Schizosaccharomyces pombe: one gene and its partner. The protein of the gene in region 1 interacts with the protein of each later gene in a biochemical or structural test. Each region holds a gene or a part of one and is shown in the gene's direction. Other genes may lie near its edges.

Evidence for each region.
Region 2: the proteins of psc3 (region 1) and mis4 form a complex in vitro, tested with the Schizosaccharomyces pombe proteins (one study listed by BioGRID).

Annotation. Positions count from the first base shown.
Region 1 is NC_003424.3:2,034,630-2,038,386, forward strand, and holds the start of psc3 (mitotic cohesin complex non-SMC subunit Psc3), read left to right. Parts: upstream 1-1,665; 5' UTR 1,666-1,773; coding exon 1,774-2,038; intron 2,039-2,083; coding exon 2,084-2,196; intron 2,197-2,234; coding exon 2,235-2,330; intron 2,331-2,378; coding exon 2,379-2,788; intron 2,789-2,838; coding exon 2,839-3,757. Other genes in the region: WD repeat protein Cdt2, read right to left, coding at 1-1,021.
Region 2 is NC_003424.3:395,248-399,004, reverse strand, and holds the start of mis4 (adherin Mis4), read left to right. Parts: upstream 1-2,065; 5' UTR 2,066-2,115; coding exon 2,116-2,224; exon of another isoform or gene 2,225-2,263; coding exon 2,264-2,459; intron 2,460-2,502; coding exon 2,503-3,757. Other genes in the region: ATP synthase complex assembly protein atp25, read right to left, coding at 1-1,296. UniProt on the Schizosaccharomyces pombe protein: Plays a structural role in chromatin. Chromatid cohesion molecule required for equal sister chromatid separation in anaphase. May form a stable link between chromatids in S phase that is split rather than removed in anaphase.

The DNA of each region.
Region 1 (3,757 bases):
CGCGTTTTGAAGTAGTTAATTCGGGAGTAGTAGCAGCAGGTAAAGGTCGGACGGTATGTACAGTTCGTAAATCCCATAACTTTAAGGCCGAGTTTGCAGAGCAGGACGATATAACTTGCGAAGTAGATTGAGGGAGCCACGTAGCTGAGGTAATTGAGCAATCCCTTCCCGAATTTTCATGTGCTTTTCTTATCCTTAACACTGGTTTCTGAAAATGCTCACCGTCAATTGTTATCCCGTGTGTTCGCATATCCCAAAAGATAATGGAACCATCCCGAGAACAACTTACCAAATTATAAGGAGAATCATTGCAAAAATTAACCTGCTTTACTGAATGAGAGTGGTATCCATCGACACCTCGTCGTCCCAATCGAGTGATGCATTGTTGCGTTGACAAATCAAATACCTTTGATGTTTGATCGCCAGATGAAGTAGCTAATAATGAATCATCTTTAGAGAAATTAACACTAAATATAGCATTGTTGTGAGCAAGCCAGCCATGGATTCTTCGAGCAGACGGCTGATTTTCCTCATTCTGTCTATCGTAAAATCGAGAATCAAACAGCTCAAGAGCTCCAGTCTCAGTACATACGGCCAATAAAGACTCGTTATTAGCAAATCCAAGACAGAACGGGAGTTGGTTCAGCATCATTAAGCATTCCGAAGGTCGTGAGTAATATGTTTCGAGATTGAGTCTACCTCCCACATGACGAGAAGTTTTTGTGCTAAAAGGGTGCGACCGGGAACCTCCCAGTTGTCTGATTAAAAGTTCTTTACAAAGTTGAGCAGGTTTTTTTTGAATATGAACTGGCTTGTGTAACAGGGGTTTCTTTTCAAACACAATGCGTTTTCGAGGTGTTTCAATTTTTCCTCGGCTTTCTAGGAAGTCGTAAAGCTTATGTTTTTTGGAAGGTGCTGCGGGAGAAGAATCAGGAGTCGGAGGTAATGAGTTATTTGCACGTGAGGTAATATCTCGAAGCCCACCAACATCACTCAAAGCTTTTCCAATGTCCATATTCATGGTATAATCATGAATCTTAATTTAATCCGCTTTTGAGGTCGTGTGTTCCAGTTTAATTTAAGTAGTGGATGGTAGCGTGAGTATATTAGATTTTCGTGACGCGTGAACGCGACGCGTCCGTGATCCATCACATGCACCAAACGTTACCCAGAATATGTTAAAGTAACAAAACGCGTATTTCAAAGTCATGTTTAAGCATATTTGCAATTACAGATGGGTACAGCCTAAAATTCTTGAGGAATAAATAAAAAGGATAAAAGTTTTCTAATTACTTGTTAATTTTTCATAAAGGATGACTTTCGTATTTCTGCCTATGATATAATGAGCGCTCGAAAAGTTGTCAAATATCTCATTTATTAATAATAATCGAAAATATTACGCGTCAAAAGAATCTTTCACTCACAATTCTATACTTGTATAGTCAAATTACAATCTCAACTCGCGGAGTGAATATAAGTTAGCTGTTCACCTTGCAGGACCCAAAAGAAAATAGTATATATTTGTTTCAATCAAGGTAAAGAAAATTTTAATGTAATAACTTCGTTAAGTATAAATTTCCTTTCGTATCCTTGGATTTTCAAACACATTTATCCTGTCTAACACTATTGAACAAGACAAGTTCGTGCTTTTATCAACTACAGGTTGTGAACAACCTCCATTGTACAACACCAATAGTGCATTCATTACACTCTTTCCAATATTTCTAATTACACCTCTTAATTTATTTATAAATTATTTCTTTTTTTCTTCAAATGAGTGAGTCTGTTACTACTGGATCTGATGATGATGGAGGAGACAGAGAATCTTCCCCTGTAATGCTTTCTCAAAGTTTTGATCCCATGAGCAGTAGTTCAAATTCATCTTCTGAAGAAAATAGCGATGATGATTACGAGAAAACGATAAGCTCAAAAAAACGGCATCCACGGCCAAATTCTAAAGGAGTAAATGTAAAACGCTCTAGGAGGAACGCTATAGTTGAAGAGGATCCTCAAGAAGAAATTTTTAACAACTTATTTGGTAATGATAAAGTCCTTCTTTTTTTCAGCTACTAACACTGAAAAGCTTTTCTGCTTGACCAAAAAGTTGATACCATGGACATCGCGGTTTCGTGGTTTGCTGACTATGCAAAAGATAATCAATCTGCCCTTGCAAATCTTATTAACTTTATTTTAAAGGTAGAGTCATTCTTTTCTTTCTTTACTAAATATTTTAGTGCTGTGGTTGCAATCGTGCCATTAATGTGTTTGATGTTCAGGATCAAGATTCTGCTTCAGCTACTCTATCTCAAATTCAACTTTCTGTAGAGCGTGTAAGTGCTTTTGCGAAAATACTTTATTTGTATATTAACAACTTTAAGACTTCTACTCGTGATTATCCTTTAAATTCAAAAAATCTTAAGTTTAGGAATTTCAGAAAGAGATTGACCGGTCTTTTAAGCAACTTTGTGTCACAGTTGTCAATAAGAAATTACTTGTACAATAGCACTGTTTTTGAAGATATTATGTCTTGGGTCGTTGCCATGTCTTCTTCTACGATGAGACCTATTCGGCACACCGCCACTGTTTTCTGTTTGAATATTATGACTTTTTTATGTGAAAAATCTAAAGAACTATTGAACGAGCATGCAATTGCTACCAAACAGCTCGAGAAAGAAGAAAAGCGCTCTCGTGTAAATAGAAATCGCATCAACGAACTTAATAACAGTCTTGGTGAAATAGTCAAGCAACAAGATACATTGACTACATACTTAAATGACTACTTTGATAGGTAAAGATCCCTCAAACGCTTTAATTTATTTATACTAACCTTTATATTAGTGTCTTCGTCCATCGATATCGAGACGTGGAGCCTAAAATAAGGGTAGATTGCTTACAAGAGCTTGGGGTCTGGATTAATACTGTTCCAAGCATATTTTTTTCAGGAAGTTATTTAAGATACCTAGGATGGATGCTTTCAGACATAAACACTACCGTCAGATTAACTGTAGTTAAAGTTTTGCGCAAATTTTTTGAGACAGATTCATTTATTGGTGGATTAAGACATTTTTCTTCTAGATTTAAAGAAAGAATACTCGAGATGAGTTGTGTGGACGCCGATATTGGAGTTCGTGTAGCCAGCATTCGTTTGTGTAACGCTATGAGGACTTGCGGATTTTTAGAAAATTCTGAAATTTTAAAAGTGCTGAAGCTAATTTTAGATATCAATCCAAGGGTGCAACGTGAAGCCGTACTGTTTTTATGCAAAGTGGTTGACGAAAGTGTGAATGAAAAAATTGATTTATGGGGTGAAGAAGACTATATTCTAAAGGCCTTTTCTCAGACTTCACTTACTACATTTTCAGTTCATTGGATAAAATTTTCCCAAATGTGTAAACTTTTGGAGGAGGTTAGATTGTCTTACCAATCGAGCTTTGATTATGATACATTATTACGAATCTTCCAAAAAAATGGTAATTTCATTACTCCTATAACACAAGCTTTACTTAATGCATGTGAAATTGATTCAATCTATCAGTCATGGGAGGATATTAGCAACTTCGTACTTTTTGATAATTATACCTCGACTCTAAAAGATCCGATAGACAGTATACTTTCTTTCTGCAAGCTAAATGATTTTCAGGAATCTATTCTTTTACAGCTTCTCTCTGCTTCAATCCAAACTGTCTGTAATAACAATTTTATCACACCTAAAACGGTGCATAATAAGCAAGCGGCGGAAACGACCAACGATCAAAAT
Region 2 (3,757 bases), 1.6 Mb from region 1:
AAACGTGTCAATAGTCATGGGTATTCCATAACGGTTCATAATCCTTTCCAAAAGAAATATGCGGTTGTCGAGAAAGAAGTTTGACTCCCCTTTAACCATACAAGAGCATATCATAAATTTTAAAAAAAGTAGTTTTAGTGAAAATGAATCGATGGTTTTTAGATCGACTAAAGATTTATACATTAGTGAAAGATACAACATCCGCTCACTAACCAAATTTTTAGAGTGTTTAGAAGCCATACTCAACTTTGTTGGAGACAAAGCTATAGTACTGAAAAGCGTATTGATATCCTTTGTAGTCAGTTGCAAAGAAGAATCTTTTCGAAGTCGCTCAAAAATTGAAAGAGTAAAATCCAAAGAAAAATTATTAGGATTTTGGAGATGCATTTTCTTATATTTTTCCAAAGTACTCGTCAGATTTTGTGAATTGACGTTTAACAAGATATCCTGGGTATCGCAATAAAGGGATGCGGCACTTTTTAAAGAAAAGTTACAAGTATGGAAACTTCTCCGAAATACGTTCGAGTGGTTATTAATAAAATTTGGAGGTAAAGAATTATCAGGTGTAGATTTACTAGTGAGTGAGACCCTAGATTGTTTGCCATGTTCGAGATCAGAATACAAAGTTTCATCCTTAACATGTTCAATATTGTCCAGTTTATAGTATTCCCTAAAATTTTTTGTAATTACATGAATGCTTATGCCGAAGTTTTCGATACTGAGACATGTCCAATTATTTTCAGACGTGTTTAATTGTCGGTTTGACAAATTGGAACGTTTCCTCATTCTCCGTTCTAAAATTTTTCTCCGAGATGCACTAGTAAGGCCATCTACGTTCACCGGTCCAACGTTTTTTTGTTTTAAAAGGCGAAGTAAGCCATTAGTAGCGGATACAACTTCAGATCCACAGTTGCAAGAAGCTAGTAAAATAAGATCTGAATCACACCAAAAAGAATCGGCGGGTGAGTTAACAAAACTGAGATCAGTGGCATAATACTTCTTTTTAAGAAGGTTTAACACATCAGCTAAAAAGTTTGGAGCACCTTTTGGAATAGGTGGCAGCGCAACCGCATCGAAATGCGCTTTTTTAGGAAATAGATTATGTTTTTCATCCACATACCATGGTTTTTTGCTTGAGACTTCCTCTGGTTGCGAATTAGCGTCATTACTTGAATTATCAGGAACTAAATTTTCAGGAAACTTTTGAGAAGCGAAAGGTCGTTTGTCAAATTTGCTTCGAAAAAAGGAAACACATAGTTTGTTGAAACGTAGATAATTAAAGCGATATGTGGGCATTTTTTAATAAAATATGAAATCTCAGCACAGTCATTAAAAATATAAGAATTAATATAATTGAAGTGTTACCTTATAAAGCCGAAAAAAGAATTTCTCAATGCTGTTCTATCACAGTATAACATGAAGACATTGTCTTCTGTTTGAATAGTAATAGATAAAACTTAGATTAAAGCAACAAAAATATTTAGTATGTTTTAAAACAAGACCGCAAATTATTAGGAGAAAACCAAATATTTAATGACCTTGGCACGTTTTCCTAACCAAGAGACCGATTCTAAATAGTGTTCCACTGTAGAAATACGTAATCACCAATATCCGAAATGTACGAACGTTTCTTATGTCAGCAATACTACATTACGCTATGATACACTACGTTGCGTATCACTATATGTCACATGTTCTAATTATATATCGTACCATTTATGATACGATATGGAAATTAATCTTAATGATAATCTATTAAGATCTATATTATCTGAATACTATAAATAGAGCTACTGCTGAACTCGTTCCTCAGTTCAGTTATGAGCTATATTAGTGATAGGTAACATTATAACCCAGTTAATACAATACCTATACTCAGTTGCTACTTATACAACCTGTGTATTGTAATATAATAGATCACAAGGAAAACTCACCGCAGTTCTACGTATCCTTAAATCAGATACCAAACTGCGTAGCTTACATCTTAATTGCATTTTCCCGTTTCGGTCTATTGCCTTAAACTTGTTTACGCTTTATATATACCGACGTTTCTTTGTTTTTAGATGAATGAATTTAATGATAAATACTTCCCTTTCTTAGCTTTGCAATGTTTTGATGCTTTTCGAGATGACACCTGAAACCTTTAAAAAAGTTAACTCCTCTAATCGAATTATTAAAGGGCTTCAATACACACCATTAGCATCATCAATCCCATTGGAAAATGGTATGCATACAGTTTGAACGCGTCTATTAATTTACATAGGTTTACAAAACGTATTATATCCATCTTCTAAATTTCAAAATGAGCCATTGCAACTTAACTCCGAAGAATCAAGTATTATGCAAAGATATGTGGATATGCTAAATCCTGGCGCAACATTCGTTAACGATTCTGAAACCTTTAATTTTTATAAAAATGCTCTTAGCGCTATGATAACGGAACCTGCAATGCCCGCAATGTAAGTTAAATTTTTTGAGGTTTTTTATCTGACAAATATAAAGGAGGGTGAATGCCAGTCCGGTCCTAGACCAAAAGGTGTGTAACAGTGACTCGTTAAGTGAATTAAATGATTTTACAAAATCTCTGATTCAGCCAAGTATGTTGATGTGTGAACCCAAGGAGAAACCTGATGCTTCTTCTATAAATACAAACCGTTCATCTTCCGACAATGGCTTCTTAACTCCGTCTTCAAGTCCTCGAAGTCCATCATGTTCTCGCGTATTTAACGCTGTTCAATTATGTAGCCCTAAAAAATCTAAAGATGATATTACTACCCCAAAAAAGCGACTTATGGAAGACACTTATTCGCCTCGTGAATCTCCCTCAAAGATCCAGCGGTTGCAGGACGTTTTGTTAAAGCAGTTGCAAGATACCAGATTACTAATTTCTCAAGTTATAGAAGCTGAGAATTCGGAAGATTTTTCATCGAATTCTCTCTTTATTAAACGAGAAGACGATGATGGAAAACACATTTCATCGCACGCAATTGAAAAGCTATATATGGCATTAACCAAGCTTAGTCGTTTGGGAGCTTGTGACAAATTGCTGGAAGAAGGGAGTATAATACTTGTAAAACAAATCCTTGAGAAAGAGTTAAAAGAGCTTCCTGTCGCTTGTTACAGTATAATTAATCTTCATGACAGCCTCACACAATTTCCGAATTTAGACTTTATTTTAAAGACCACTGCTCTTGTTCTTTTTATAATATTTCTGGTCCCCTCCTTTAAAAAGCTTCAAAATGAAGAATCAATTCTTCATTTACTTAATATCTTACATTCCATATTTGAGTACACAGTTCCTGAAGCGATTGATAACATCGTTCAATCAAAAACTTCCGATGCTAGGACTTCTGAAATTCAACATCTATCAGTTTTGTTACAAAAAGTCGCAAATGTATTAAACATCTTATCTAAAGTTGCCCATGAAATTCCCTTGTCGGAAGCTGTGGTCATACGCATTGTATATTTATTTCCCAAAGTCTCTACACTCGACAATTCCTTCAAAACTAAACTTCCTAACTGTAACAGCTCATCCTTCGATTTTCTTAAAGCTCCTTTATTTCAAACGTTACAATATTTATTTCGTCTTTATCCTTATCAGCGAGATTTTATCATTGAAGAATCACTTACAAATTTTTCTCACTTGCCCACTGCTCGTTCGGTCTCAAGGACCTATAGACTCTCTAACGGTAAATCCATACAATACTATTCAACCCTATTTGTACGTTTAATTCAGTCATGCTCCATTCAAAACTTA